Caenorhabditis elegans: one gene and its partner. The protein of the gene in region 1 purifies or fractionates together with the protein of each later gene. This does not show direct contact. Each region holds a gene or a part of one and is shown on either strand. Other genes may lie near its edges. The genes, in order: T28C12.6 and ZK849.6.

Region 1 (16,332 bases):
CCCGTTTTTCAACATGGTCATATGTTGTTTTTTGCGTGCGTCTGTTCCCTTTTTTCGTCCCCTAGGATCGGTTTCTTCACACTGCCATCGTTTTCATCGCCCTGCCGTGTTGTTGTTGTTTTGTGTTTTTTTTCGTGCAATCGCCTCTCGTGCGGCTGCGACACACATAGTATATAAAAAACGAGGACGCGAACACAAATGTGTATTGAGCAAAAGGGTTAGTAAAAGAAATGGAAAGGGAGCTGCTGAAACGGAAGACGGAACAAATTCTGACGAAGACAAGGTTTTTTATGGTGTTCTGAGAGACATGTAATGGGCACGTCAGGTTGACGATGATTCACTAAGAAATGACCCTAACAGAAAGAAAGAATAAACGAAAAAAAATGGAAGGCAGTGACCAAGTTCTTGAAAATGCACAGAAAGGCTTTTGTTTAGTTAAAAAAGAAACGGAGAACTTTGTCTTTATGATCAACACAACGAAATAACTAGAAATTGTTTTAGATAAGATATAATTTATTAAAACAATTCAAGGTGAAGGTGGCAATAGAACGTTTTTCAACTGATAGTTTGACCAGTAGGTCAAAGTGAAATGGTGCTCAAACTACGAAGTCAAATATGAGTTTCTCTGTAGACTTTAATTGCTATTCTGTATTTGCAAAATATATTATTAGAGCATGTTCAGTTAAGGGTTGAAAAGTTGATAGATCAACCACTAAGTCAACTTCCAATTACGGAATTCCTAAATATTGAACAGTTACCTGCTGTTGAAGATCCGTAACCCGTCACGAAATCCAAAAAGACAAAGCGAACATAACCAGACAGGCTTGTGGGACTACTGGCCTGGAAGCCCTAGTTGATACCTTGGATATGATTGTATTTGTTCGCTCAACTCTAGGAATCTACAAACAAACAACTTACTAGCTCTATACTGACATCGATATCATGTTTTATCCGGCTTAGAATAGTAAAATCTTTTAAAGGGTCTATGTTTTTTCGGACACGTTGGTTGTCCCATCATCATAACCCATTTTCTTTTCCAGATGTGCAATTCAGAGCGGGAAATGATCTCAGGCTTATTCTTTTCTCAGCTCTACCATCTTCTCCTCCGCTCCTCATCCGTTATTTTGTGCATGTGTTTTCGATCAGTTACACATAATACGCACATCGTCGAGCAGCTGTTTTGCTCTGCGTCTCCAGGCTTCCCGCCTAACTTCTCCCGGTCGGCATGGGTCCGCTCGTTTGACCGCGTTTTTTGTCCACGCACACACACACACAAACACACACACACCCACAAAAAACTTCCGAGCTCCCGCATTCCACGCCATGAAGATTTCAGAAGTGCTTCGAGGAACACATGCACGAGAAAAGACCGAAAAAAAACGAGCCTGGCGACCAAGAACATGTCCTTTGGGAGGCCAGGATTAGAGCAGCAAGTCAGGGAAGTATTAGAAGTGAGCAGAAAGGGAGCAATGGTTGAAAAATATGAATCACGAGGTGAATTAATGAATGAACATAAATGGACATTGTTCATATCACCCAATTGATGCAATTTCGGAGCCAACTAGTTGGAGACCGATTATAATTTCAAAAATGTGATTTCAGCGCTCCTTAGAAATATTGATGGTTTGAGCAATAGTAAGCACTGGATGAAACTTGAATAATAAAGGGCAATATTTCTAGTTTGTCAAACTATAAATGTGGAAAAAACTTTGTCTTGAAGAAATACATACTTTTTAGTGAAGAAATTCAATTCAAACTTTAACGGCGAACAAAAAAGTTCAAGAAAAAATAGAGCTGTTTTATTTAAAAAAAAAACAGTCGACAAACAGATCGAGTGGTTTTCCACACTGTCAATTGTCAAATCATTGAAAAAATAATTTAGAATCTCAATTAGCTCGTTGTAATTCAAATTAGCTTTCATTTGAACGTTTTTTGTTATTTGAAACGAAAAAAAATTAAAGTTTGCGATTGCTTTCAAATTGTCGTCTACTAATCGCGGATCCCTAAATGTTTGTTCAGTAAATTCTGCCACGTGGCTTCCATACTTTTTGAAAATAAAATCACAAAAACCTGGAATGATCATTAGATTCCATGAAAACGCACTGATACTCTGTTTGATACAACCCTTGGGTTATTGATAAAAATACATTTCAATTGCCAGTTTAGTGTGACCAAAGCTAGTAATTACTTGTATACTTGAAAAATGTGCACTTCCAATTTTCCAAAGTCAAGAAAACAAAGTGTTCTGATCTACGAGTATAGTGCATGGGATTACGGTAGAATTGAATGAGAAAGTCTTAGTTTCTCCAACAACAAGAAAGTCAAGAAAAAAAAAACGAAAAAGTAACAAAAAGAATGCCCACTAAAAAGGTGTGAAAGGTGGCAAAAGTGTGTGGTTGTCCAGCAAAAAACTGGGGGACCCTTTCCCAGAAGAGGCGACCCGTCAACACTGCAGTTGTGGACTCGAAACTGCCAGTGCTGTCATGTTATGTGCGGTGTGCATTTTTTCGTTTATTTTCTCGTTTTTTTTCTTCTTCTTTCTCGACGTCTCTTTCTCTTCCCTTTTCAGTCACCACTGGAGGCTTTCTGTTTCATTCTAAGTCTCTTTCCCTTTTCAGTTTCGGCCAGTGGCCTCTCAACTCGACCACTTCTTAAGGCATGGCGACATTCGGGTTGAAAGCCCAGATTGGATGGGAAGGAAGAAATGGAAAAACGAAAGGAAATGAAGAAAAAGGACGATGATGATGATGGCAAAAAAGGAGAAGCAGTCGACGACCAACTGGGTGGACACTCGAGGAAGAAATAAAAAAACGACGAAGCAGTACGTCAGCTGATCCGAGAGTGGGCACCAATGCATCTCTCCCAACCAATAAAAAAGAAATGCAAAGCAAGAAAAAGAACTCACTGATTTGTTGAAGAAGTTTTCAGCATTGGCTTTTCAGAGCTCAATCTGGAAGGGAGAATTTTATTCAATGACAGGTTCATGGATTTTTATCGTCCCAAGAAGGAAAGTTCAAATTAAAAAAGGTTGTATTGATAACAAGCTGATAAAAAATCCTTTGAACAAATTAAAACAATAAGTCGACTTAGACTACTTCATAGAAAATGATCCACAAGTTCCGATTTTCTTAGTGTAGGTTTATAAAACAGTGAAAATATTCTTATCACCTTCACTTACATTATTTTGCGCAGATCTATGTATGGTAGTACCCAAATCATGTATCAAAGTTGTCAGAATTTTAGAAAATAGATACATATTTCTTAGAGTTGCTAAATTTCTAAAAATTTATAGTAACTTTGTTATCAGCTTGAGATAACTAAAGCTCCAAAACTACAACTAATTGTTTTCAAAATTTGAATTGTGACTCGGCTTCTACTAATAATAATAATGCACATAATAATCAACATCATTATCCACACCTTTGCCCTTGTTGTCCTCTTCCTTATTTTCTTCATCTTTTTTGGTTTATCCGAGTGCTTTGAGATTAATCAGCCCGCGCGTGTGCTCCACTTTCGACAACTAACTCTCTTCAACGGCTACTATACGAAAAAGCTAAAAAGTGCACTGAAACAGAGATCATGTATTCTGACTGATTGCAACATCATGAGCCAAATGAGAAACAAAACTTGACTTTTGGGAAAAAGTTAGAAGACTCATTAGGTTTCAGGTAAAAAAGATCGTCTCTGGAAAACTACAAAAAATTTAACACAATATCAACTTCAATTAGACAACCTGTTTATATCAGGATATCAGGAAAATTCGCCACAATCGGAAAAAATAATGTAGTATTTTCCTGGTAATTCCGGCAACTATCAAACTCCACTCTATTTCGAAAATCTAAAAATTTAAACTTGACATAATTTATCTAATTCAAGGTTTGAGATACTGTGACCATGCTCTAAAATTTTAGGAAAATTTAGAAAAAAAGCTTTGTATTTTCATGATGTCTCACTTTTTGAAGAACAGCAATTGGCAATCAGCGAAATTGCCGGAATTGCAATTGCTACTCTCGGAAATAGTTCTCATTTTCAAGACAGACCTGGGCACCCAGCGAGTTTAAATTCGACAAAATCTGTACATATTCAACTTAATTGCGCACCTCTTCAAAATTTTTTTTATTTTTTTCTCCCTATCTAAGGAATGTGTCGACAAGTGTCTTTTGTGAATGTGTAGTCATTTTTTCCATCTCGACAAATTGATCTGTATGATCAGGTTCAGAGTCCAGTACACCCGCTACTATCCAGCTTCACGTGTCTGTGCTGACTGCAATGTATCAAGAACACAGATGAATCCGGGCGCGCCGGCGCGAACACAAAAGAGGTGAATGGGTTGAGCGTCGTCGTCGTCGTTGTTGGTGTGTCAACAATAAGACAAACCATTTTCGGTCTGTGCATGTTTCCGTGCCATAAAACGCTGCCGTTCGCCACTCATTGGCTCAATTGGTCTGGCAGCTTAATTTACATTTATGAGCATTTTATCATAGAAAAAAAGTTCTCAAAAAAATTTATAAACGTATTCCGAATTCATAATTAAAACTGTAATATTCCAATCGTCTGAAAAATTATGAAAAATTTTTTTTAATCTCTCGAATTCATTCTTCGTGAGCGATAAACATTTTGAAATATAAAAACATTTTCTATGAACATGTGTTTGAAATCTACAAAAAAATTGGTTTTAATTTGACTATTAGACACAATTATGAACATCTAGCGCACTACTATTAGAGACCAAAAATCTCATTTTTATGAATTATGGTACTGTATTTTGGACCTATTTGGTCTAATTTTGAATACTGAAATATGATTTTGATTTAATCCACTATACATTGCCTTCGAATATTTTACTATCTGAAATTGTTTTCACCTTTTTCTCCCCAATCGTCACTGAATATTTTCTCTTTAATTCCTCCGGAAACTTTTTTTCAATCTCAATTGTTTCATTTTCTCTCTCAATTTCTTATTTGTACTCTCGATGATTCCAACATTATTTTCCTCTAACATCAGTCGGCAACAACTCAAAAATGTGTTGTATATCGTGTTTATTGCTCTTTGCATACAGATGCCGGTGCTCCCTCCTCCTCCTCCCGTACGCTCATGTGTTGTTCTGATCCGCAGCGCATACGATCTCCTTTCGTTTCACACCTCGGGTAGCAAAGAAGTGAAACATGCAACACATTGGCCGTCGTCTTGCCGTGCCGTTTCCTGTATATCAATTACCGTTGTGCACCTCCCCCGCCCCATTCCGATAATCCCCGACCCGTGAGAAAAATTTTAGAGTTCCAAAGATCAACACGTCTAACGACGAGATACGTGAATGATCAAGGCTTGAGAACCTGAAACTCCGTTCTTGTACACTTGTACTGGATTGTTTTATAAATCGTACGCTCAAATGTTCACTGAACAATGAATCTAGCATGTTCTAGATTGTTACCAATGAACCTCACAAAATGCACCGCTTTTCATATAAATAGGGCTCCAGTAGAGACCAAAAAGCTCACAAATTTAAAATTTCATTGATGTACAATTTTTAAAATTTGAGCTTGCTTTAAAAATGCGAATTGAATTATTTCTTTTTCATTTTAGAAATAACTATTTAAATCTGACGGTAAGCTGTAATCTAAATATACCTCAAATTGACAAAGTAGCTGAATTGGGAAAATTGGTTTAAGACACCCTACAAGATAATCCATCTAATTTTTTTTTTGAAAATGGATGAATTTTCAATTTACCTCTAATTCAAATTTGAATTACCGCGCTTTTTTGAGGGAAAACCTGAAATTTTTCCAATTTTCAAATAATGAATTAAAAATTTAGAAAAGTTTTTTGATTTGTTTTTTACTTTGGTATTTGTGGCGCATAGGAGCGTTTTAATGCAAATTCATCACAAGCGATGTTGCTAATTTAAATTGAAAAACTAGGTTTTAATATTTATGCTCAATGTTTTTTTTAGGAAAAATTAATTTTAAAATCCGGCTTGAAAGTTTCAAAAACATACGTACTCCCATTTCAAGCACTCCCCTTCTCATTTTCCATTAATTAATTTCTAATACATCTATCTGATCACTGTATTTAGACTGAACCCCCACTTCAAAGTGCATATATTTATCATTCTTTCATATCTCTTTATCTCTGAGCCAATCGGTGTTTTTTGCTCTAAATCGCGTGAAGGGCACTCACACATTTTGATACGGTGAGCTGCTCGCGGAGCCCAGAGCACCCCAAAGACCAGTTGACGCCTATATCACCGGAAACAAACCGATTGGCACAGTCTCTCGCTCCTTTTCCGCAGCCGCTGTTTGCGTTTCGGCCAATTATTGCCACCTTCGTATTATGATCCTAATGACTGTATTAGATTAAGAAGACGATTAATTTTTCATTTTTCTGACGTATAATACCGCCTGTTGAGATGAGCCGGATCACGTTGGTTGATGGGACGTACCGCCTCATTCCGTGAAACATTTCATTCTAGAGTTATCAAGTTTTCATTTTCTGGCATGAATCTCAGTTGCCTTTTCAGCTTAAATTTTTTGCTTATTGATTATTATAAATGCATGTAGTTTCAAAAACTAAAATATTATGCGACTTTGTTTTATAAAATTTTCAAAATTGTTTTTTTTTAAGTTTGTATTGTTTCTATTTTCCAATTAGTAATTTAATGCTATTAACTGCTTTGATATTTTTAAAATATTATTCTATCGTTTATATCGTTGAAATCATAATCTTAACAAAATTTTTGATGAATTTTTCCATTTGAAAATTTTGAATGTCCCATTATCTTGTAGAACAATTTTTGCATAAAATATTACTTTCCAATTTTCTCAAGCTTCAAGCTTTTGGTTTTAAAATTGTTCAAATAAAGTAAATCAGAAATTAAAATACTGTTTCAGGCTTTTATAATATTTTCTACAATTTGGTACAATTAGAAATATTAAAAAATTTTTGAGTATGAAGCTACCAAAATTAAAATCAAATTTGAATGATTAATTTCATTTTAAAAATTGAAGTAATGAAGCACAAAATATTGTTTAAAATTAACCGCTTTGATTTTATCGCCACATTTTATGTTGTTTTTCTTACTTCGGAAGAATTCAGTGTTCGAAATTTTTCAAAAAACCTCCCCGAGTCGAAATCCCTAAAAATTACATCTTTAACCATTGTATTTTGGTAAAACATATCAAGCTCCAAAAAAATTGCCCTTCGAAATCTCTATTTATGTCCGAATCAACAAACATTTATTTGCTTTTTCGCAGGTTCCCCTCTGCAAAAGGACATCTGGTAAATCTTATTAATATTCAATTTTTCCCATTTTATTCAAATCCTCCCAAATTTTGTTTTGAATTTTCTTTACTATGCGCACAAGTACGTTAAGCCCGCAAATTTCCAGTTTATCCCATATTATTGTGCTTACCCGCACCCCGTTGCTTTCCAGTACAGTACAAACAAAAACATTTGGGTGCCAATGGACACGGTAAACACACGTGAATCCACACGTTGCGTATTCCGGATCGTCTTTCATGTTGTTTCCAGTCTGCCTGTGTTGGCCTGACAGACTCAGTTACACCAAGACAATCCAATGACCAAAGAGTTAGAGAGTGTGTGAGAGGAAGAGACGCAGACACAAACAAAAGCGCCAAGAGGGAAGGGGCGGGCGGCACAGAGAGCACATAGCACGTTTTTTCAAAAGTTATTTTTTTCACGCACTTACCATTTAAATGTTGACAACTTACTTGCTTCTCGCGATGTTTTTGCTAAAACTCTATCTCTCTCCGTTCATTTAATATTTTCAGGAAATGATACAGTTGCTGTTGGTTGGTATCACAGTTGTCGGATCACAGCACATGACACTTTGTGATTATTATGAAAAACTTGGTGAGTAGAGCTAAATAATTTGAAGCAATTACTTTTTTAAAAATAATTTTCCAGTTTTGAGGTCAATTATTTTCTTTTTAGGAATAGCTAAATCAGAATGTGGACACATTATTAAACCACAGAAGGATATTGGTTTTTTCAATCCTCCATCTTACGACACACCAAACAATTTTAGGTGGGAAATTAAGAAAATATTATACACTTCTTAATACTATTATATTCAGGTTCAACAGTTATAATCCTAGCAGTAACAATGTGAACCCACAATTTAACGTTTTTCGGTCATATTCCAATGGTTAGTTTTTTTTGAAAATTCTTCTACTCTAACCATTAATTTCATAATTACAGATCTTGTTGGATCCCTCCCATTATGTCGTAACTATTTCCATTCTTGTATGACTTCCACATCTTGCGAATCAGGAACGATATGCACAAATGGATTAGAACAAGGATCGTGTTGCACGAATCCTAGCCAAGCTAGCTGCCCATCTGTAACATCTATGAACATCAACTGCAGAAAATTGAGAAGTGTGAACTGGTGGGTCTTAAAAGGCAAAAAAGTATTTAGGGGGCACCCGGAGTTGAACCAGGGACCTCTCGATCTGCAATCGAATGCTCTGCCACTGAGCTATACCCCACGAAAGAAACTTGACTTGCTAGCCGATAAGACAAATTTCTACGGAAAAGATAAGGAATGATAAGAGAGACTGTTCTTGCAGGTGTAACAATGATTTCGACTGTCGGGGAGGATCTACCACTGCTTCAATGTGTTGTCCAACTGGCTGTAATTATAACATGTGTGTACACGTTGGTGCACAAGTATATCACCCAAGAAGAAGCGTTGGTTAGTCTATAAGCATTTGGCTTGCAGCTTTTAAAAAATTCCCTTAACTTCCAGTCTTCAAATCATTATCGACAGCAGCTACAACACCTGATCAATGTCCAGATCCATACCAATTAGGGGTAAAATGTGTGGCAGCTAGAGGTTCGAATTGGTGTTATACTGATAGCGATTGCCGTAGTGGATTGTACACAAGAAAGTGAGTTATTTCTGAGAATAAATTTGATAAATTTGATTTTCGAAATTTTATAAACGGTTAAGTTTTTTTTCTTCGATTAGTAAAAGGATTTTTCCTGCTGGCGCCGAATTCAAAAAGGTGTGCGTCTTCAAAGATTACTGTAATTCTTAACTCTCATTGTTGCGTTTTCATAGTTTTTTTGACAGAAATATGTATATTCAACAACTAAAATAAAACAAAACAAGAACATTAATTTTGAGAAATTGTAAGAAAAAATCTGAAAAAAATCATGAAATTCGCAGAACCAAAGTTTGAGGTTGCATTATTCTTTAAAGGCGCAGACATTTTTGCATTCGATAAAAACTTGTCGTGACGAGACCGGGAAGCGTATATTTGACTCAAAAATTGCAAAACTTTGCGTCTGGGTGGTATATAAATTTAAAAAATTATTTAAAAACTATATATATTTTTTTGCATAAAAACACAAACAATTTGTTTTCTTTAAAAAAATAATACTTAAAAAATAATTCTATTCATTTATTGAAATACTTTTTTTAACCTGAATTTCACAAATGCATAGTACTTTGAGCACGAAGCTAAGAAAGAAAAAACAACACATTTTTAGCTAACGCAATTATTATTGATTTTGAAATTTTACGAAGCCCCTCGTTTTTCTGTTGGAAACTCATAAAATCTCAGATGCTGCGCCACAAATTGCGGATACAACACGTGTGTAATGAAGTTCAATGACAAGTGGATCATCGCCTAATCTCAAGTGTCATCAGAATCATGATTATGTCTGTAAATACCATAACTTTTTTTCATTATTGGGGTCTTTCTCTGCAGAACCAGTTACTAAATTTCTACTCAGAATCATTCATCTCTTTCCTTTTTGTGCCCATTTATTTTATCCGAGTGTGTCTGTTTTGTTCGAGAAGAATTTAATTTATATCAGAATATACTACATTTAGAATTGAAAAAACATGAATGAATGAGAAAAAAGTATTTTCATGACATTGACGATGACGAATCTTTGCACTTCTTGACCACTTTTAGTGGAACTAGTCTTTTGTAAAATATCAAAATTAAAACTATGGCAACAAGAAGAGTTGATGCTTGGAGAACAATCACGTAACGATACCCGCTGTATTTGAATATTGCTCTGAAAATATTTTATATGTGAGGAATATAAATTTTTTTATCTAGAAGATTGGAAGCATAAATTACGTTGACGTCTAAAGATTTTAATTTTGGCGACTGACTTCAAAATTAACTTTTAATTTGAATGTTAATAAAACACAATTTGGTAAACCCAAAAGCAAGATGCGATGCTTACAAATAAAACCAATTTTAAAAAGGTGTTTTTCTTATACTTACGTGGAAGAAATAGAAGCAATAACTGGGGCAAGGCTTCCCCCGAACGAGAAGAATCCCTGCATTGTGCCTTGTTTCCTTGGCCCTAAGATTTCAGAGAACAGTGCTGGAGCAGGTGTCTCTACGAATGGGAACGCAACACCAAAGAAAACAATAAAGCAGAATAAATATATGAAAAGTGGAACACGAGTTGTGTCATTACACCAGAGATACTCCGAATAACATCCTCCGGCGACTTTTGTTTCAACTCCTTTAGGTAAAAAGTTCAAAGGTCCAGAGTAGAATCCCCATGGATACATGAAAAGCTGGTAGAGAAGGAAAAATGTTAGTCCAAATAACATTTGCTTCCTTTTGTCACTGGAAAAATTCGTTTTCAAATTTTCAAGGCTCCGGTTAACATACATTCTTCCGATTCGCGTTGATCCTTGAGCAATGTTGAATGCCACTGAAATTGCACTACTAATGGCTAGTGCTATTCCATTGTAGAATATTGAGTCACTATCCTTCCAGTCATATAGAACTGTGGTCAAAGGAGAAGACATTCTTAAAAGAAAAGTTACATCGTTGTTTGAAATAAGTTCACTTACACTTCGATATTGGTCGCAGTCATGTTGACAATCATGAAAAGGTAAATACAAATTAGGGAAGCTGGGATATCAAACATTGGAACTTCCACTTCATCCTTCTCTTTTTCCTCTTTTGTCACTATTCCAGCGTAACTTTCTTTGAAGAATAAGTATACAACCAAACAAGCTGACAGGCAAATCAAAACCATCAAGTAAGAGACAATTGTGTACATGTTCAAAATGAAACCTCCAAATTGGATACCTTCTTCACCGAGTGGAGTGAAGATTGACTAAATAATTATTAATTTACTTCACTATAAAAAATTGTTAACGGAGCCTTACCGAGATAACAGGTCCAAATGAAAAACCGAGAACGAAGCCTCCGGTCCCGAAAGATATGGCTCTCATTCTGTCTTTTGGCGTAGATGCCATTGCTGCATAAACTCGAAGAGCTGCTATATTTCCAACGCCAAGGCCAGTCAAGAATCGAGCACATAACATGAACCATTTCACATTTCCGAAAAAGCCCAAAAGTGCGTACCATAATTGACCAACAGCTGCTATTAGGAAACCAGTGATAACAGGCCATTTCACAGACATTGTCTTTTGATTCCAGTATCCATAAATTGGATTAGCCTGGAATAAATATAAAGTTAAAATATATGCATGTAATTTCATGATGTTTATGTTATGTGGTAACTAATATTTACATTGTCCTGTTCTGAAAAAAAAATTCAAAGATTTGAATATAAACTGGGAGTTCTACAGACAAGTATTATATCAGTTTAAAATTGCTTTTCTCAAAAGATTGATTGAGGATAATTTTTGAATTTTCCCTCCAATATAAACTAAACCATAAAAAAAAAACAACTTACAATTGTACAACCAATACTGCAAGACGCAACAACCCACCCAAGAAAATCAAAATCTGCTGTTTTATCAAGCTGGAATGTTTGAAATTTTTTACTTTCCATATTGTCTATAAAACTTACTCCACTCAAATATGGCCACATTGACATGTAATATACAGAAATTTGAACACCTACTACAAACTGCATAACAATGGCAATCCACATGGATCTCCAATCTGTTCGCTTCTCGGCTTCAATCTTTTCGGACAGAATGATCTGCGTCATTTTGAAAATAAGGGAGATGCGAAGAATGAATTCTACTATAGACAACTACCCGGTGTTTATATAGCACAACATCATCTGAATAATCGCTCTCTTTCAGTATTTTGTGCGGTCAATTTTCGTTAACACTACAAAATGCGGGTTTCTAATAGATTTGACATTTCAACCTGTTCTAAAAAAGAAATCTAGGAATACATGATCATAACTATTCTATGGAAATATGAATTATTTATTGTTTTTGAATTTTTTGAACCCTCTGTCTATTTTAGTATATTTTCTTATTCATGTACATAGGTTCAGTGTAAGTGTTTATTGTGATTTATTAAAATTTTGATGACATCAAAACTAAAGCCACTTTTTTAAATATCTAATTTGTTCGCTTGTTAAATTTTCAATTATGAAGATTTTAAAAGAACTTACAAGAAAACGGTTTTACCTTCAAACTTAAAAACGAGACATATACATTAGTTCCATTTGAATTTTTTTTACCAATAATATGTAGATGCAAAATTTTGAGCGGCAATATTCCGTTCTCAACATTTAAAATTTAGTTCTGAAATTTTTCAGTGCATTACTATTTCCGAGACCCGTATAATTGCTCCAAAAGCTTAAAAAACGAGTTTTAATGTTTTTAGGGTGTTTAGGGGAATGGGGGACATTATTACAGTTTTTGATTTTTTTTTTTTAATTTCTGAAAATGTTTTTTCTCCAAGCCGCCAAAAAAATTTCAGACCTAAAAATTGGAATGTCTATTTTTTAGAACTTTTAAATTTTTTAATATCTTTTCAAAGAAAAGTGTTAATATAACTATAAGATTTGCAAAAAATGGATTTCAGATATGAAGTATAACAATTGAAAAACAAATGTGATTTTATTACATTATATTATATTGAAGACTCAAAAATTCAACAAATTAGAAAACACTAAAATCAACAATTTAAAACGCTATAATTATCATTCAATTGGAAATCTTCTCATCTTCTGACTTTTTAATAACTTTCAATGGGACAAGTCTCTTGTAAAATATTAAAATGAGTGCCGCTCCAACGAGAAGAAATACTGATTGAAGTACAATAACGTAGCGATAACCCGTATATTTGAAGATCGCTCTGAAAATGAAACATGAATTTTTAGGCGGAGCTTAATACTTACGTTGAAGAAATAGAAGCAATAACTGGAGCAATACTTCCACCGAGTGAGAAAAATCCCTGCATCGTGCCTTGTTTCCTTGGACCAAGAACTTCCGAATAAAGTGCCGCGGACGGTGTCTCCACAAATGGAAATGCAACTCCAAAGAATACAATAAAACAGAAAAGATACACGGACAGTGGGACCCTGGTAGTTTCCTGACACCAATGATATTCTACCAAGCATCCTCCCACTTCGGTAGTTTCAACACCTGGAGGCAAGAAGTTCAGTGGTCCCGAGTAGAATCCCCATGGATACATGAATGCCTGGTACAACAGAAATACGAAAATTCCGATCAACATTTGATTCCTCTTGTCACTGCAAAAATTGAAATAAAAAAATCAACTGTAGAAGTTCACCGACATTTTTCCAATTCTACTTGCACCCAATAACACATGGAAGATTACTGAAATAATACAACTCAAGGCCAATGTAATTCCATTATACAAAATCGAATCACTATCCTTCCAATCGTATAAAACAGTGGTCAATGGTGTTGACATTCTGAAAAACAAGTGATGCACTTTTGATATTTTTGAACTAAATCTTACACTTCCACATTGGTTGCGATAATGTTGACAATCATAAAAAGATAAATGCAAATAATTGCACTTGGGATATCAAACATTGGAACAACCAAATCGTCATTCGCTTTCTCTTCTTTCGTAACAATTCCAGCGTAACTTTCTTCGAAAAGAAAATAGATGACTACACATGACAAGAAGCATATTAAAGCCATAAGGTATGCAACAACAGTGAACATATTGAATACAATAGGTCCAATTGAAATTCCATAAGCTCCGAGAGGGGTGAATACTGCCTGAAATAAACAAGATAGGCTGATTCCAATAAACAAATTCCTACCGAAATAACAGGCCCAAATGAAATTCCAAGCACGAATCCTCCTGTTCCAAAAGAAATTGCTCTCATTCTATCCTTCGGTGTGGATGCAGTTGCCGCATAAACACGAAGAGCTGCAATGTTTCCAACTCCGAGACCAGTGAAGAAACGGGCGAAGAGCATTAGCCATTTGACATTTGTGGCAACTGTCAAAAGACCATACCATACTTGACCAACTGCAGCAATAAGGAAACCAGTTATAGCTGGCCATTTCACAGACATTGTCTTCTGGTTCCAGAATCCGTAAATTGGATTTGACTGCAAAACAACTGTTAGTTAAGATATTTTCAATTTATTTAAACTCACAATTGTGCATCCAATACTGCATGCAGCAACTATCCAGCCCAGAAAATCTACATCTGCAGTTTTGTCAAGCTAAAACACCGAATTGTGTTTTTGATCACATTTATATATACTTTACCCCGCTCAAGTATGGCCACATTGACATGTAGTATACAGAAATTTGAACTCCAACAATAAATTGAAGAAATATACAAATCCACATTGACTTCCAATCAGTCTGTTTTTCATTCAATATTCTCCCAGCGGACATTCTAACATAATAGCTTAATTATTAATTACTGACTATAACTCGACTTACTCAGCCTCTTTCTTTTTGTCCACCGATGGCCCAACTGAATCCGTCATTTCTCGACGATCTGGAAATGAACGCTACCAAAAAATAAAAATGAAACATTCAAACATTGATAATGAAAAGAGGAAAATGTGATCAAGAACATTGCTATTCTGCATTTCTATTGGTGTGCCATTTTATAGAGTTTACAATATCATCCCGCATTAAATTTGAATAATCTGCACTTGTCTTTTCGACTTTGTCCAGAGCTGATTTTTTGACCTCCCGCAGACACAAAATGTCATTGCATCATGCCACTCAATGTCATGCCATAAAACTTTGTAAACTGTAATATTGCTATTGTTTTCCAAAACAGCTTTCTATCTGAAACTTTGGAGCCATAAAAGGAGTTCCTTAAGTGGATAAAAACTTTATTATCCTAATATTCACGAGTTCATTGTTCCGAGTCGATTTTCTTCTTAATATTGAAAGCATTCGGTTGATAAGTGATGATGAATGTATCCTTTTTAGTTTTATAAGCAATTGAACCAGAGGAGTCTCTACGAGATGAGTTTGGATCGAAGACTCTAACAAACATTCTCGCATCGAAATCCACACTCTCACAAGTAAGTGATTTGAACACGGACGATTTTAGCAGAATTTCCTGAAAATGTATGTTGAAAAATTAACAAGTCGAAGAAAACTCACATCGCGAAATTTGATGATATCATCCATTAAAAAAGTTTCTCCCAAAAAGTTGAACTTCAATGATTCGAAATGGTAAAGATGCTTGACGATAAGTGAAAAATAAGCGACAGTAGTGAGTGAAAGAGTCTTTGCTTCTTCCCATTGATCGAGAATCACCAGTTCTTTGACGGAATCCTCATCAAATTCAAGAATTTCGATGTGTAAGCTCTCCAGAGTTTCAGGCTCAAAGTGTTTGAGAAGTGAAACGACTTGGTCAGTGTGAGCACAATCGAGAGATACCGACTTTGCCGACAAGATTCCAATCAATTGTAGAGCATCATGAATAGCTTTAAAGGAAACTTTTGGATTGACCATTGCCCATTGCCATTTGCCCATTGCCAAAATAACTCCAAAATAATCCATGCTCACATCTCGACCACTCAAGAGTGCCAACACATCATCCATCGCAACCTCCAACGGTTTCTTATCAGTGACAAACAGTTTCCGTTTCTTATAATTTACAGTACATCCTTTATCAAAGTCATCGTGGTAGAACACCGTACCATCATTTACATTCAAATCCACTGATTCCTCTTTTAAGGTCATCTCAATTTTCTTCAAGGCGGAGCGTTGATTGTCGATAATGCACCGAAAGTTACGGCAAACTGCACGTGCGGCGAACCTGAAAACATTTTATTTTCACAAAACTTCAAATTATGCAATCAAGTATTACCGATCAATTGGATTCAACATATCCAAAACCATCCTTTGAACAAAATTAGAAAAATCGGTAAACTTTTTCCTCTCGAACGCGTAAAATCTGAAACACGTATGCTAAGACTATGTTCGTTAAAAAACACAAACCTATCATATGAGTCTACGGTTAAACTCCCATTCGCAATTCCCATATACCAATATTCAAAGTGTCGGTATTCCATAAAATTATCTCCATATGTCTTGTTCATAGCTTTATATGCATTGAAAACTGGAACTCCTTGAAGATGTTGAAATAAAATACAGAG
Region 2 (14,936 bases), on another chromosome or scaffold:
ATTTTTTGTCGCAAATTGACTAAAAATTTGAATTTCCTATAGTAAAACGACAAAAAATTTGAATTTTCTATTGAAAAATGACCAAAATTTTGATTTTCCAGTTGAAAAATTAACTAAAAAATTAAATTTCCAGTTAAATGTTAACTGAGAATTTGAATTTCCTCCCTAAAACTGACTTATAACTTGAATTTCTAGCTCAAAATCAATTGGAAATTTAAAAATCCCGCCTAAAATTAACTGGCAATATGAAAATCCCGCCAAAAATTAACAGAAAATCAAAATTTCCAGCTGAAAATCGATTGAATATTTAAATTTCCCGCTAAAAACTAACTGGAAATTCAAATTTCCCGCCGAAAAATTCCCAATAACTCACATAGATCCATCGCTGTGCTCGATCGTCACCGTCCCATCATCATCACTATCCTCATCGGGGCACACAAAGACGAGCTCCAGGTCTAGGTCGCCTTGCTGTACCTGGAATTTGGAGGGGATGTAGGTGGAGGGCCCCTGGCAGCATCTTACCTGCCCACTCAAAATATCCACTGCCTCCTGATGCTTGACAGTCCGAAGATCGTAGCCGTTTACTGAGAGAATCGCGTCGCCCACAAAGACCTGTCCACATCGGTCAGCAGGCTGTCCCGGCTGGATTTCAGATATCACTATGGGTAGAGCGTGTTCGGATCCTCCCTGGAAATGGATTTTAGGATCCAGTAGGATTTTTTAAGATCTTGAAGAACTAGGATCCATCCGGAGCTCCGCAAACTATCTGGAGTAGTTTTGAGCTATGCAGCAGAACTACAAAAGCAGGGGTTGTCAGAGTGTCTCATTTTAGATTGATCTACATTGATCTACAAAAAATGCGGGAAAAGAGACGCAGACTTTTCAACTGACTGGGAGAAAAATTCCCGCATTTTTTGTAGATCAAACCGCAATGGGACAGCCTGACACCACGTGCAAAAGTACCTCATAATCAGATGGCACATTTGGTCTTACGGGAACTGGATCAACTCTCAGATCTTACAGGATCCCGTGGATCCCCAAAGGAACAAGTCTAGTCAATGATCTACTGGCCCAAAACCATCCAAGTCCCCCCACCTACCGTAATAGAAATGCCGAGCCCTTCGTGCGGGTGTTTCGAGAGCACCACTTTCCTGCTCTTTCCCACTCCATTTCGTTTTCGGAGGCTCTTGAAGTTGTGACGAAGTGGCGCCGTTAATCCCTTCGTGTTACCCCGTCCTCTGCAAGAATGGCAAATTGTTCAAGTGGGGAGCGGCCATGGGAAACGTGACCGCCTACCTGCAAGCCCGGATCACTGTCTTGTGCCTGTGGAGGTGAATTTCGGCTTCCAGCTGGTTCCAGAGCCTGTCGTGCTCCACGCCGCGCATGTTTCGTCCCAGGAGCTGGATTTGTTGTATCCGGCCTGCGAGTTCCTGGAAGATTAGGGTATGTAAAGCCTTGAAGCCTTAAAGCCTTAAAGCCCGATGGCCTACCTTATCCAGGTACTTTGCCGCCAGCCTGGCCCCGAAGACCTCAGTCTCCAAGGCCTGAATCGTCCGTTTTGACCGATCACACTCCTTTCTTGCAATTTCCAGCTCACAAACCGTGCTCAAACCCTGTGTAAGCTCTGATCGAAACTGTGTCAGCTGGGTCTCCAGCTTCTTCTTAATCATGTCTGACTCATGCGGCGCCGTCTTGGAATGCAGTTGGCATTGTAATGAGTGAACTTGGATCATCAACTGCTCCACTTCCTTCTCCATGCTCTGTCGAGCGGCGCGGGCTTCCACGACCTCGGCGCGCATTGTTATCATTTCCTGAAAAAATTAACAATCCAACTTTTTTCAGCAAGCCTAAACTCACCTTCTCCTGTTTACTAATTGTGTGCATCATGAACTGACACTTGTGCATCATTTGTGCAAAGCAGGCGCTCAATGACGTCATCTTCTGCCGGCCCTCGTAGGTGATCTCAACCTGGATACGTTAGGATTTTGTGGACCTGGGCTTGATCAGGTGGCCTGAAGTTCTAAGCTCTTACCTGGTCCGAGTCGACTTCTCCTAGCAGGAGATCCAGTGAGACGAATGCTTTGTCGAAGTCTTTCTCCAATGATTCTGTCCATCCTGAGCCACCTTCCATCTGGAAATTTTGAGGTTTTAGGGGTAATCAAGGGGAGGGCAGGGTTCCGATCAAAGTTTGGCTGAGTTGAAAGGATCAAGGATCCCGGCTAGTCATTAGAAAATTTGACGGCTCTGGCTTATATGGCCTAGCTGAGCAAACTGTTGTGAAAAGAGCCCTGATTTGGAATAAGGAATAAGATAAGCTGATCGGACCAAAAATTCGGGCCTAAATGGGCAAATACTTGGATAAATATGATTCAGGCTAAGCTGAAAAGGGCCCGGTCCAGTCAGTTGTCGTTTCAGACTAGGCGGGAAGTTTCAAGGTACCGGGCCTAGTTTAGCTCAACAATGATAGGCTTCATAAGTCTAGGCTAGTCAATGGGAAATCTAATTCGAATTATTGGTTTCCAAGAACGGATGGATCAAGGATCCGGGTTTAGCTAGGCTTGGTAGACTCAAACCAAGAGGATAAAAAAGCCGGGCTTGACTAGGCTTAGAACCTAGAAAGCCCAAATCACTCACCGCAGAAGCTTCACACTCAAAATACTCAGACTCCGGGTCCACCCTAAGCACAGTCTGGGCCTGAAGCCTGGCGCCAGAGCAAGCCGCACAATGGCTCATTTTTTTAGTAAAACACTAGTTTCGGGGTGATGATGATGATGATGATGATGATGATATGTGTGGAGAACTGGGTGTGTGTGTGTGTGTGTTTGTTGGAATAGGGTGGAAAAGAGCCGTCGGGGGACACCGGATAATCCAATTGTCGTTTTCTTCCCGTCTTTTCTAGAGAAAGGCGTCGGGGGGCTCTGTGAGGAATAAGAAGATGCCTCGCTCGTTTTTAAGAAAAAAAATGGGGTGGGAATGGTAGAGAGAGAGAGTGGAAGAGGACGAAGAAAAAGAGAGGAGGGACCCCAATTCCGGGAGCTTCATGTGTGTGTGTGTCAATGGGTATACTTTCACACCAAATCAAAAGTTTTTCGCATTTTTGTTCCCTCTTTGTTGCACAGTTGAAAAGTATACGATAATTACTTTAACTACGAAATTGGGGGTTTTACTCCGACCTATGGGTGTTCTACACTGACCTATAGGTGCTAAGTAGACCTGAATGGTTTTGATCCGACCTAATAGGGTTTTACTTTGACTTAACGGGGTTCTAGTCCGACCTAAGACTTTAGAAATCTACTCCGATCTAGGAGTTCTAGGATCTACTCTAGGCCCTTCCTTGACCTAATGAGATTCTACTTCAACCCAAGGACGCTCTGCTCCGATCCAAAAGAACTTTACTCCGGCCCAAGATTTTAGAAATCTACTCCGATCTAATGTTTTTAGGGTCCTATTCCGATCTAACTTTTGAGGTTCTACTCCGACCTAAGACTTTAGAAATCTACTCCGATCTAGGAGCTCTAGGATCTACACCGGCCTAAAGGGAGCCTACTTTGACCTAATGAAATTTTACTTCAACCCCAAGGGGTTCTCCCTAAACCTAAAAGTTTGAGACTCTGCCCCGGCCTAAAAAACTTTACCCCGACCTGAGATTTTAGAATTCTACTCCGATCTAAGATTTCGAGATTTTACTTTGACCTAAGCGGATTCTACTCCGACCTAAAGTGATACTGTTTTGACCTAAGATTATTCTTTACCGAACTAGGGGGTTATACTCCGCAGAGTCCTTGTCCGACCTATTAGGCTTCTAGTTCGACCTATGGGGTTTCTAGTCCGGCCTGAGAATGTGGAATTTTTACTCCAACCTAAGATGAAGCTACTCCGATCTAACAAGATTTTAAGGTTTTTTTTAAAAGGAATCCACCTTCTTTGAGTTTCTACCCCTTACGACCTAACACGCTATAATTCCACTCGACGATTTTTTGGCACTTCTATTACTAGCCGAACACTAACAAGCGGTAGTAGTTGAAAAGTATCCGATAATTATTATCCCCGCTTCCTTTATATTGACCACTATTCATCTGAACGACTTCCTCTGCATGCTCTCTGCGCAAAGCTAATTCAATTTGGAGTCGCCTTTTTGGAATTGGTTTTTAATGGAGGAAGCTTGATTTTTCCATTTTTTCAACGTCTAATGAGTTGAAAACAAAGTGGGATTTTGGGATTTTGTGCTCATTTGAGAGCCCAAGCTTGCCTAAAAGTATGACGGGACCATCAGAAGGCTGAATTTTTTTTGTACATTATGGTAAATGGAGGCACTATCTGGTTCCGTGGGGTCATGGTGCATTGGATCATGGTATATCCTATCCTGGCTTCTAATCCCAATGCGTTTACAGTCATGTGGGCTTGAACGGGCCTAGCTGAGCTTGGACAAAGTTCCTTGACAGTACGGGTCGACAAGCTTGACAGTCAGAAATTAGGCACTTGTGGGCTACAGGTGCTCGTAATTATTTTGAGAGTTCTGGGCTTCCGGACTTTTACTAGGCTAATCTAAGACAACTGGGCTCTAATCTTCTGGTCAAACAGTTTCCCTTTAGATTTTAAATATCTGGGCTTCTCTACGGTCCCTTTTTATTAGAGCCACAAGCTTACGGGACTTCACTACAAGCCTAGTTAAATTCCAAAGAATATCTGGAACAAAATTCAGCATTCTGGAGCCCGTCGGGCTTGAAATATAATTTTGAAACTTAAAAATAAACTTACATTTGAAATGAAAAGCTCTAAAAATTGAGTATAAGAATAACCGGGCCATGTCGGTGAGCCACTCTGAGAATAACCACCATCCTGGAACATAGTCTCCACTCGAAACTGAGCTTATGAGCAGAGTCGAAAAAGCGGATCAAGAAGTAAGATGAGCCCCCCCCCTTGGCTTGAGCCATGTGAGAAAGGCTAGAGACACAGAAAGAGAGAGAGGTTCGCCAAATCACATTGTCTCCGTGTACGGGGTGCGCCGAAAATTATGTTAAGGAGTCGAAGCAGCGGTGGCGGGGGGAGCGGGAGAGGAAATGTGAAACGCAAAAGTTCCGTTTCGGCTAAACGTGATGATGGCTGAAGATCATCTTCTTCTTTTTTTTTCAACAAGACCATAATTGAAGTTTTCTAGATGTCTTATATTTCGGCTCAATTTGCAAGTTTCAAAAAATACTTTGTTAGTTGTCAGCTGCCTGATAAAACAAAAGACATCAGTGATATATGCACCATGTCTTAAAACAAGGTATTTTGTAAAGTTTTTCAAAAAGCTAAACAGATAAAAGCTTCAAACAGGGACAGCCTTCAATGCATCATGTCCAAAAGTTTTTGCTCATCTTTGATAGCTCATTTGATAGCTCATACATAGATTAACATACATAGATACATAGATTAAAAAATTTTAACACCAAAAATGTAGAAAACTTCTACATAAACTGTTAGGTGCTCCTATGCACACAAGATGTCTTATCCATAGTTTGATCTATTTCCCGCTCGCTCGGCGGTTGTCCTCCCCCTCACTGAGTTACGAAAAATGGTTTTTTTGTTCAAATTGTTAAAAATAATTTTACAACGAATATTTATGTTTTTTTTTTTAATTGAAAGTGTTATAAATTAATTAAATATATAAAGAGTATAGGTTCAGCACTGAATAAATATTGATCACATGTTTTTTTTACAATTTTTGCATGTATAAATCCAAAAATTTATAAAAATCAAATTCCGAAGTATGGTGACCTAGTCTCTGCTTATGGTGCATCGACACCAAATCAACTGACTTTGACAGTCGATATCTCGGCTAATTTTGGTGCTATCAAAAATTCGTCAACTGACAAAAAAATTGATTTTCGGTTTTTCTATGATTCTGTAGTTTAAAATTTTTAAATATCGTACAAACAAGCTGAGAAAAACCCTGTCTAAGTTGATTTCCTAGTTTTAAGAAAATTCTATATCACAATTATTCAATTCTAGACAGAAACAAGTCTAGGTGCTTAGCCTGAGCCTAAACCTAAATGTAAGCCTGACCCTAAGCCTAAGCCTAAGCCTAAGCCTAAGCCTAAGACTAAGTCTAAGCCTAAGCCTACTCGGCATTCAGAGGCAACTTCCTGCAACACTTTGACAACTTCCTGCCAACAACCTGGCAACTTATTTAGTGCCACTAAAATAAGTTGCCAAATTGTTGGCAGGAAGTTGCCACGAAGTTGGCAGGAAGTTGCCCAGGTGTTGTCAGTAAAAATTCTTTTTTTCGTTTTTTTTCAACTGATTATGGTTATTTTTGTATTAAGGGGATCAATAAAATGAATTTAGCATACATACGATTCAACCAGAACAAGGTAAAATTAGAAAAAAAAACGTTACTTTTTGAATTAGTCCAATCGGCTGGATATCAACTTGCACTGTCATGTTTCCCTTTTTCTGCCCTACCAGATCCCGAACCTTCTCCTTGTGACTGTCAGCCCAATTCCTTAACCTCTAAGCTATGCCCGCGCGCAAGATAAAGTAGAATAGAGTTGTTCAAATATGAAATCCAATGGAAACTTGTAAAAAAATGTTGAAGAAAATAGTTTCAAGGAGGTAAACACAGATAAGTAGCTCTGAAATGCCCAACATGTAATTCTAGAACATGGTGATGTAAAGGACTATTGTAAGCAAGTTGATGTAACTGTTCTCAAAGAATAAACAATTTTGCATAGCTCGTTCTATCAAGTCGGGTTTTCTTAACAACATGTTTTACAACATTAATTCAGAAGCCGCGACGACATGAAGTTATCCTACTTCGTTTTTCGTGTAGTATGCGTTCTTATTCCCACTTTGCTTTCATTTTATGATAAGCTACTAATTTTTCTATCACTGTTAGCTTTTTAAAATTCGAAATTCGATAGTTCCACCGCAAAGTTTGAATAAATTCAATTTTGAAGTTCGGCTGTAAAGCACCGATGCTCCGAAATTACGCCAGTGCGTCATGTTTACCGTAAATGTTGCCAAAAAGTTTGGCAGGCTGTTGGCAAGCTGATGCCGAAGTTTGGCAGACTGTTGGCAGACTGTTGCCAAAGCCATGCATGCTACATGCTGGCAGGATGTTGCCAAAATTTGGCAGGAAGTTGGCAAAATATGGCAGGAAGTTGGAAACAAGCAAAACTTGGCAGGAAGTTGCCATAATTTGGCTGGAAGTTGCCTCCAAATGCCGAGTAAGCCTCAGCCAAAACCTGAGTTTTTGCTCATGGCACATCACTAACAAGTATGACGTCATTTATAATTTTTTTAAAGGAAAACAAACCTAAAGTAAACTGAAAAAATATTTTCGGAACGGAAAATCTACTTGGAAAACAGCTCCAAAAATTGGAAAAGACGTACAACGAGTCAATATATTATAGTACCCATCCTTGCCCAATTCCAGAGTGACATATTGGCATATACATACATACATCCCCTCGTCCCTGCCACAACCCATCCATCAATCCAACCCCATTTTTTTCCCAAAGATTTTGGAGCGAGATGCTCCGTGTAAGCTGAGCATGAACAATTAGAAGAAGACGGGGATAGGAAAAGAGCACAATTACGCCCATGGGAGATCATATTTCTGAGGAGGAAAACGGGAAGATTTTGGTTGAAAACTGAAGAAAGTTTAGCATTTTTTTTGGGGTGGCGGAGCCGAAAAAAAACCAAAAAAGTTTTTTTTTTGGAGAAGGAGAAGAAGGTACTTGAGATATGCAAATTAGGTGCCGCCAGACAGATAGGACTTTGTTCATTTGTTACTACGATGCTCCGATATCCCGCTGAACGTTTTTGAAATTTTTGAGTAGCTAGGCCATGCCTGGTTCATGGTACGATGCTCCGAAATTCCGCGGTGTTTCTCAATAAAATTTCATTTAGAATCATCAAAGTTGCTCAAAACTTCAAAACTACAAGAAAATTCCAGCCAGCGGAATAACGGAGTATCGTACTAGGCCACGTCCACTTTTAGTACGATGCTCCGATATTCCGCCAGTAAATTTTAAGAATTTCAAAAAATTAATCAAGTCTAGTGGAATATCGGAGCATCGTACTAAAAGTGGGCGTGGTTTAGTACGATGATCCGAATTCCCGGTAACTGAGAATCTTATTTGTTTAAGGGTTGAGGTACTATTTTTCTATTTTTTTGCAAAAAAACATCATAAATTGCTGATTTTTAACAGTTTTCATGAGCGTAATATCGGAGCATCGTACTAGCCCACGCCCACTTTTAGTACGATGCTCCGATATTCCGCTAGTTAAAATTAACCGAAAATACTGTCAAATTATATTTGAAACACTAAAAGCTCATAAAAACTGGAAGTCTGAAAAAAAAATCAGTTCATCAAAATTCCAGAGCATCATACATCGTAGTGGGCGTGGCTTATTACGATGCTCCAATATTCCGCTCTTAAACAAATCAACTTTGAGCAAAAAATTGGCAATTTTTGTTTGGAAAATGTTCTAAAAAATTTGTAAAGTTGAAAACTGATAAATTTTTGGAATTTATTTTTTTGGAACTCTCCAGCGGAATAACGGAGCATTGTACCAGGTCACGCCCCTTTCTTGGTACAACGCTCAGAAATTCCGCTTGTAGAAAAGTCAATTATTTCATTAATAATTTTTTCAAAACTTTGAGAAAATCTATCAATAAAGTACAACGTTCAAAAATTATCAAAATATAAAAGCATTGTACTAAACCCCGCCCACTACGACGCTCCGAAATTCCACTAGTTGAAAAGCCGCCCAAAAGATAAAAAAAATCCGGAAAAAAGAGCCTGCTTATCGCATTTTTTTTCCTTCAGCGACACCCCTGGAACAACAATACACCAGGGACGGCTGGAGCTCACCAGCCAAACACACGTTTTTGGGGGCGGGGTTGGAAATGTGCCAAAAGTTTTTGGAAAGTTTTTGGCTTTTGCCTAAATCAGACTTCGAACTGAAAAAATACAGCGTGGTGTTGTTTTGGTTAATTGAAAAAAACAACTTTTTGAAAAAATCGGTCGTACTAAGCCACGCCCCTTTTTTGGTACGATGCTCCGAAATTCCGCTGTCGAAATATTGAATATAGATACAAGCTCAGTTGTTTTTGCACTAAGATTCATATATAATTTTTTAAATAAACTCGGCAGTCAGCGGAATACTGGAGCATCGTACTAAGCCACGCCCCTTTTTTGGTACGATGCTCCGAAATTCCGCTACCAAAATGTTCAGTTTTCAAGGTAAAAGGGTCACATTTTTTAAGGCACAAGGTGCACAGTCAAGTGTTAATTAAAATTAATAAAAATTCGAAACTTTCAAATTTTTTCCACAAGCGGAATATCGGAGCAACGTACTAAACAACTCAAGTTTAAAAGCATTTTAAAAGTTGAAGAGTAAATCAACAAAAGGGAGGAATTTCGAAGAAGTCCGTGCTTAATTGTCCGCGGGAGAAGAGGGCTTCCACATCACCAAAATGGGACACAAAAAGGATGGGGTGGGCTCTCGGAGCACAAAGCAAGAAGATATCGAAAAGATGGGGAGGCGTGGGGGGGGGCTCTTCTAAACATTCAAAAGCGACAAGTTTTGGTTATGAAAATGGTCCCGAGAGACTTTGAGAACTCGGAAAACATTGGAAACTGGCTACGGGGATATCGGAGTGTCGTAAGGGGCGTGGCCTAGTACGACACTCCGATGTTCCCAGGTCTAAAATTCGTGAAAAGTAGTGCTATTCACTGTAATTAGATAGATTTTAGTGGAATTTCGATGAAAATTTTGCAGGTTTCTAGATAGCGGAATTTTGGAGTGTCCAACCAAGAAAGGGGCGTGGTTTAGTACGACGCTCCGATATTCCGTTTGTTGAAAATTTGAAAAAAAATTCAAATTTTCAGAAGAGAATTTTACAAAAAAAACGTAAATGGCGCCTCAACCTAAGTCTGAGCCTAAGCCTAAGCCTTAACTTAAGCCTAAGTCTAAGCCTATGCCTAAGCCTAAGCCTAAGCCTGATCCCAAGACTAGGCTTAAGCCTAAGCCTAAACTTAAGCCTATGCCTGAGCCTAAGCCTAAGCCTAAGCTTTTGGGAATATTGGAGCTCCGCCAGACTCACCACAACTTTCCGACATCCGGAGCACATGTGCCTTGTATGAGGTGCTGACATTTGTAATACCTGAAAGAAAATTTATTTAGTACGATGCTCCGATATGCCGGAATATCGGAGCATCGTTGTGAAATGGGTAAGAAATGAAAAAATGAAAAGATTTCTGAAAAAGAAAATCAAAATTCACATTAATCCTAGTTTTACGAGCTTTTTCCCCTTCACATTAGGAATTGCATTTGGGTTCAAGTATCGGAATAACGGAGTATCGTACTAGGCCACGCCCACTTTTAGTACGATGCTCCGATATTTCGCTAGTCCAAATTTACGGAAAAATTAAAAATTGTAAGAAATGTTTGGAGTTTTAAAAAATGTATTAAGATTAACGGAATATCGGAGCATCGTATTAAAAGTGGGCGTGGCTTGGTACGACGCTCCGTTTTCCCGGTAACTGAGAATCTTATTTGTTAAGGGTTGAGGTACTATTGCTCTAACTTTTTGCAATAAAACATCACAATTTGCTGATTTTTAGTAGTTTTGATGAGCAGTATATCGGAGCATTGTACCCGACCACGCCCCTTTTTAGTACGATGCTCTGATATTCCGCTAGTAAAAATTAGCGGAAAATACAGTCAAATTATATTTGAAACTCTATAAGAAAATTGGAAATAAAAAAAAACAGTTCATCGTATTATCGGAGCATCGTACTAAACGTGGGCGTGGCTTAGTACAATGCTCCGAAATGCCGCTGTGGAAAAATGTACAGAAAGAGCAAGTTTTGGTAAAACGTTTTTGAAAAATTACTCAAAATGAGAAAAATTAAGCAAATTTTCCAGTACGATGCTCCGATATTCCGCTTATCAAATCCTACAAATGCCCAATAAAAACAGGAAAAAGCTCCGGAAAATTCACAATTTTCTGGTGTCTCCGGGAGCAGCCACTTGTTATGCGGAAGAGGAGCAGTAAAAGAAAAGGAAGAAGAAGAAGACACTTGTGTCTGTCCGCCCGTTTTTTTTTTCTAGAACCTTCGGTTGGGCTTCTCCGGTGTGCGTGACTTGCTCCTCCTGAAAATTTTTCAAAAAATGGATGTATTTTTTTTCTTTTTACTCCAAAATTTTCCCGTTCTCAAGAGCTCTTAACTCAAATTTTCGGCTTCTCGGGGTCTCAAAAGTGACAAAAAGTGTTGATGGAGGTGGTGACCCCCACTAAGCACTTGATCCCGCCGGTGGCTTAGCATGGGGGCAGGGAATTGTAATTTTCTGACTGGAATATAGAGTTTCTTTGGGAAAATGCTGAAAATTTTCAGGTTCCTACGAGTTTCAATAATCCCCAAAAATTTCAGTGCGTTAAAGTTAAGTTGAACAAAGTTACAGCTTGCTGAAGTTCTTGGCATGCAACGCGGTCGCGTCGCGGTTCAATTTTTATTTTTATGCAAAAATAATTTAAACATAGTACTGAATTAGTTCGTTAAATTTCAGGTTTTTAGATGCACTTCTACTGAAGTAATGGTCACTTGAAGTTTTACGGGTGCGTCGCGGTCGCGTCGCGGCTCACGGAAAAATACACGTCGCCATAACTCGAAAACCAAGAACTGTGCAGCTTTAAAAATTTCAGATTGTGCTTCTTATTCGATTTTCGATGTTCTCCAAGTTTTTAACTAGAATCCAATAAAAAAATTTTGGTGCGTCGCGTGTCGCGTCGCGGTTCAATTCAGAGTTCCAGCAGCCATAACTTGGATGCTAACAACGGTAAATCTCTGAAACTTTCAGATTGAGTCTTCTACCTAATATCCTTCATTTGCCCAAACTAGATCCTCCTACTTTCTCCGGTGCGGTGCGGCCGCGTCGCGGTTCAATTTTTTTCAAAATGTGTTATACTTCATGTATGTATATACTCCAGAAAAAAAGACATGGTGTGTTTGCGTTGATCTAATTAGAAAACTGGAAGAGCCGGCGCAGGCGAAATTTGATTAACAGTAGAGAGAGGGGGTTTTGTGGAAAACATACAACCGGAATTCCAGGGTCCGAAATTTGTTTTTGAAAGGAAACATTTTGAGTCTGTATTCTTGGAAGAGTAAATTCGCGACCGCAACGCGGAAGAATTTAAAATTTAAATACTTTAAATATGAAAGTCCTAGCTCTGTAAAATCACCTGCAAAAATTTCAGGCTTCTAGCTCAAATATGAAGCAAGTTATGGCAATTTGAAAAAATGAAACTAGCCGCGATGCGACTGCGACGCGCCCGCGACGCGACCGCTCCGCACACACCTAATTGTTAATTGCATGTTAGAATAAAATCATCGGAAGACTATGAAATTTTCGGTGCATACAAAAAAACAAACATATAAACAGACAAAATAACATTTGAGTACAAAACTTCATTTTCTAGCGAACTCTGAGGGCTGGGTTGTTGTACGGCTTCTCCCCACAGTACATGAATGGCTGAAATTTAAAAAAAACTTTTTTTTTCTGAAAAAAATCTGAAATTTCATACCTGTTTCGCAGATCCCTTTGGAATCATACACGGCTTCACGACAAAGAGCAAAAATGCGGAGAAGACTCCGAGATACCAGCAAAGAATGATCGGAGAGGCCAAATAGTCGAACCAAGCGAGCTTCTGAAAATAGAAAATTGAATTTTTGGGGGGCTTTGGAGCATATTTGTAGCATTTTTAGCACATTTTTAGGTGAAAAATCAAGTTTTTCAGCTTTAAAACTGGAAATCTGAATCAAAACACTTACTTGATTGGAATACACCATGGTTTACCGGATTCGATTTTTTGCCTCGAAAAGTGAAAAATGGAAGGAATGAATGAAAAATCGATATTTGAAGTATTGATTTTTGATTGATTAATTTGAAGAAAAACTTCCAAATTTCAAAACTTCAAAAAAGTTATCACGTAATGAAAAAATTTAAACACTTTTTTAAAATTATTTTTTTTTCAAAATTCCGTATCTTTTTCAATTGTTTAGATGTAAAGCTAATTTTAGGCTTAAAACTTGCATTAAAGCTTTAGCAATAACTGAATAAATTTTGCCATTTACTACTTAAAAACCTACAGTATCCCATGGGTTTTCGTGGCGGGACTCGAAAAATATTTAAAAAATTCTTGAAAATGTTTGAAATTACATTGCATTTGTAGTTTTTTAGATTTTTGAGAGATTTTAAGTTCAAAATGGGTAGAAAATCATTGTTAATTTGATACAGAATTTTTTAAAATTAAATCTCAAAAATCTACAGTACCCCATGAGTTTTCGTGGCGGGACCCAACATTTTTTTTTGAAAATGTTTGAAATTGTATAACTGTTTAAAGTTTTTTATATTTTAAAGAGATTTTTAGTTCAAAATGTTTAGAAAATTATTGTTAATTTGTTGCAAAATTTTAAAAATCAAACCTATAAAATCTACAGTACCCCATGAGTTTTCGTGGCGGAACGCAAGTTTTCAATATTTGCAAAATTTCAAAAATTAAAAGCTTCATAATTTTGTCAATTTTCAAGTTTTTGGACTGATTTTGTTTTACAGTATGTTTCAAATACTGATTAGCATATTTGTAAAATATGATCCGCATATGTGCAATACCTACAGTACCCCATGAGTTTTCGTGGCGGGACCCACAATTTTCCAAAAAATAAAAACTCGATTTTCACGCGAAATTTCAAATTTCAAAAAAATTTTAAGTTTTAAATTTTAAAACTTTCCACGTGAGTTTATTTTTATATTTGGAACTTTTGACGTTGCAAACTTTGAAAAACGTTTTAAAATCGATAAATCAAACATTCCTCAACTAACCTTTCTGTTGGAAAATGTGAGTTTAGCGGCTGTCAACTTTAAAGGCGCATACCTTAGAAACTGGAAGAGATATCAAAAAGTTGTCAACTAGCAAAATGTAAAACAAATAATTTGCTACATTTTATTAATTGACAACTTTTTGATATCTCAATTTTTGGCAAAGTTACCGCTCTTTTTCAGATGACTGTTCCATATTATCGAGATGTTCCAACTGGAAATGCTCTACGCAATTTTTTCAAAGTAGGTTAACAGTTTTAGACAAAAATGTTATTAATGTTTACTTAAAGTTTAAAAAATTCAGATTATGCTCAAAAGGAAAGGAAATTTATTTACAGCGATTTTTAAAGAGTTATGTTTGTTTCTTGGCTTGTATTTTTTATTTATGGTGATCTATCGACTTGTTTTACCAAAGAGCGGAGGTCAACGGTAAGTGATTTCGCTGGAAAAACTCTTTAAAATGTAGCTTTTTTTCAGTGAAATCAGAAAAATTGTCGAAAACTTGCTGTCCCATCAGGAATTTACGATACCCTTGGAGTTTTTGCTTGGTTTCTTCGTTTCTAGTGTGGTGGATCGGTGGAGAAAGTCGCTGGACAGTTTAGCATATATTGAGAGGTAAATTGCGGCATTCTTGAAACCTTTGTAATTCCACTGAAAGCTAAGTTACTAAAAAGTTGTCAACTTGTGAAATGTAGAGCGAACAATTTTCTACGTTTTGTCAGTTGATAACTTTTTGTATCCTTTCTGCGCGGAGTTATTGGGGTTTAAAGATGGAACACTCTCCAGCACACAGTGATATTGCGGTTTAACTTCAAGCCTCCATAACTTTGCAGTGAATAGTAATATCAAAAAGTTGTTAACTAACAAAATGTAGAGCGGAAAATTTTCTACATTTTGTCAGTTGATAACTTTTTGGTATTTTTATTCTACGCGGAGTTATTAGGGTTTGAAAAAAGAGTACACTCCTGCCCACTGTGATGTCCACAGTGATATTGCGGCTCAACTTTAAACCTTCATAACTCTGCACTGAATGACATTATCAAAAATTGTTAATTATTAAA

The links.
Region 2: the proteins of T28C12.6 (region 1) and ZK849.6 fractionate together in Caenorhabditis elegans (co-fractionation; one large-scale study listed by BioGRID). This does not show direct contact.

What each region holds. Positions count from the first base shown.
Region 1 is NC_003283.11:6,327,573-6,343,904, reverse strand, and holds T28C12.6 (WAP domain-containing protein), read left to right. Parts: upstream 1-7,785; 5' UTR 7,786-7,790; coding exon 7,791-7,869; intron 7,870-7,950; coding exon 7,951-8,044; intron 8,045-8,093; coding exon 8,094-8,164; intron 8,165-8,217; coding exon 8,218-8,407; intron 8,408-8,435; exon of another isoform or gene 8,436-8,507; intron 8,508-8,588; coding exon 8,589-8,713; intron 8,714-8,767; coding exon 8,768-8,909; intron 8,910-9,587; coding exon 9,588-9,657; 3' UTR 9,658-9,891; downstream 9,892-16,332. Other genes in the region: T28C12.1 (Major facilitator superfamily (MFS) profile domain-containing protein), read right to left, coding at 9,897-10,050, 10,266-10,619, 10,665-10,805, 10,850-11,118, 11,171-11,464, 11,704-11,772, 11,821-11,964; T28C12.2 (Major facilitator superfamily (MFS) profile domain-containing protein), read right to left, coding at 12,920-13,070, 13,114-13,467, 13,513-13,653, 13,701-13,969, 14,014-14,307, 14,356-14,424, 14,471-14,603, 14,651-14,697; fbxa-202 (F-box domain-containing protein), read right to left, coding at 15,078-15,287, 15,332-15,992, 16,044-16,130, 16,175-16,332.
Region 2 is NC_003279.8:14,186,163-14,201,098, forward strand, and holds ZK849.6 (NADH dehydrogenase subunit 1), read right to left. Parts: upstream 12,975-14,936; 5' UTR 12,846-12,974; coding exon 12,828-12,845; intron 12,704-12,827; coding exon 12,581-12,703; intron 12,529-12,580; coding exon 12,472-12,528; 3' UTR 12,449-12,471; downstream 1-12,448. Other genes in the region: gopc-1 (Golgi-associated PDZ and coiled-coil motif-containing protein), read right to left, coding at 374-474, 523-687, 1,100-1,238, 1,297-1,430, 1,491-1,811, 1,858-1,968, 2,033-2,131, 2,635-2,733; best-26 (Bestrophin homolog 26), read left to right, coding at 14,059-14,118, 14,180-14,304, 14,353-14,490.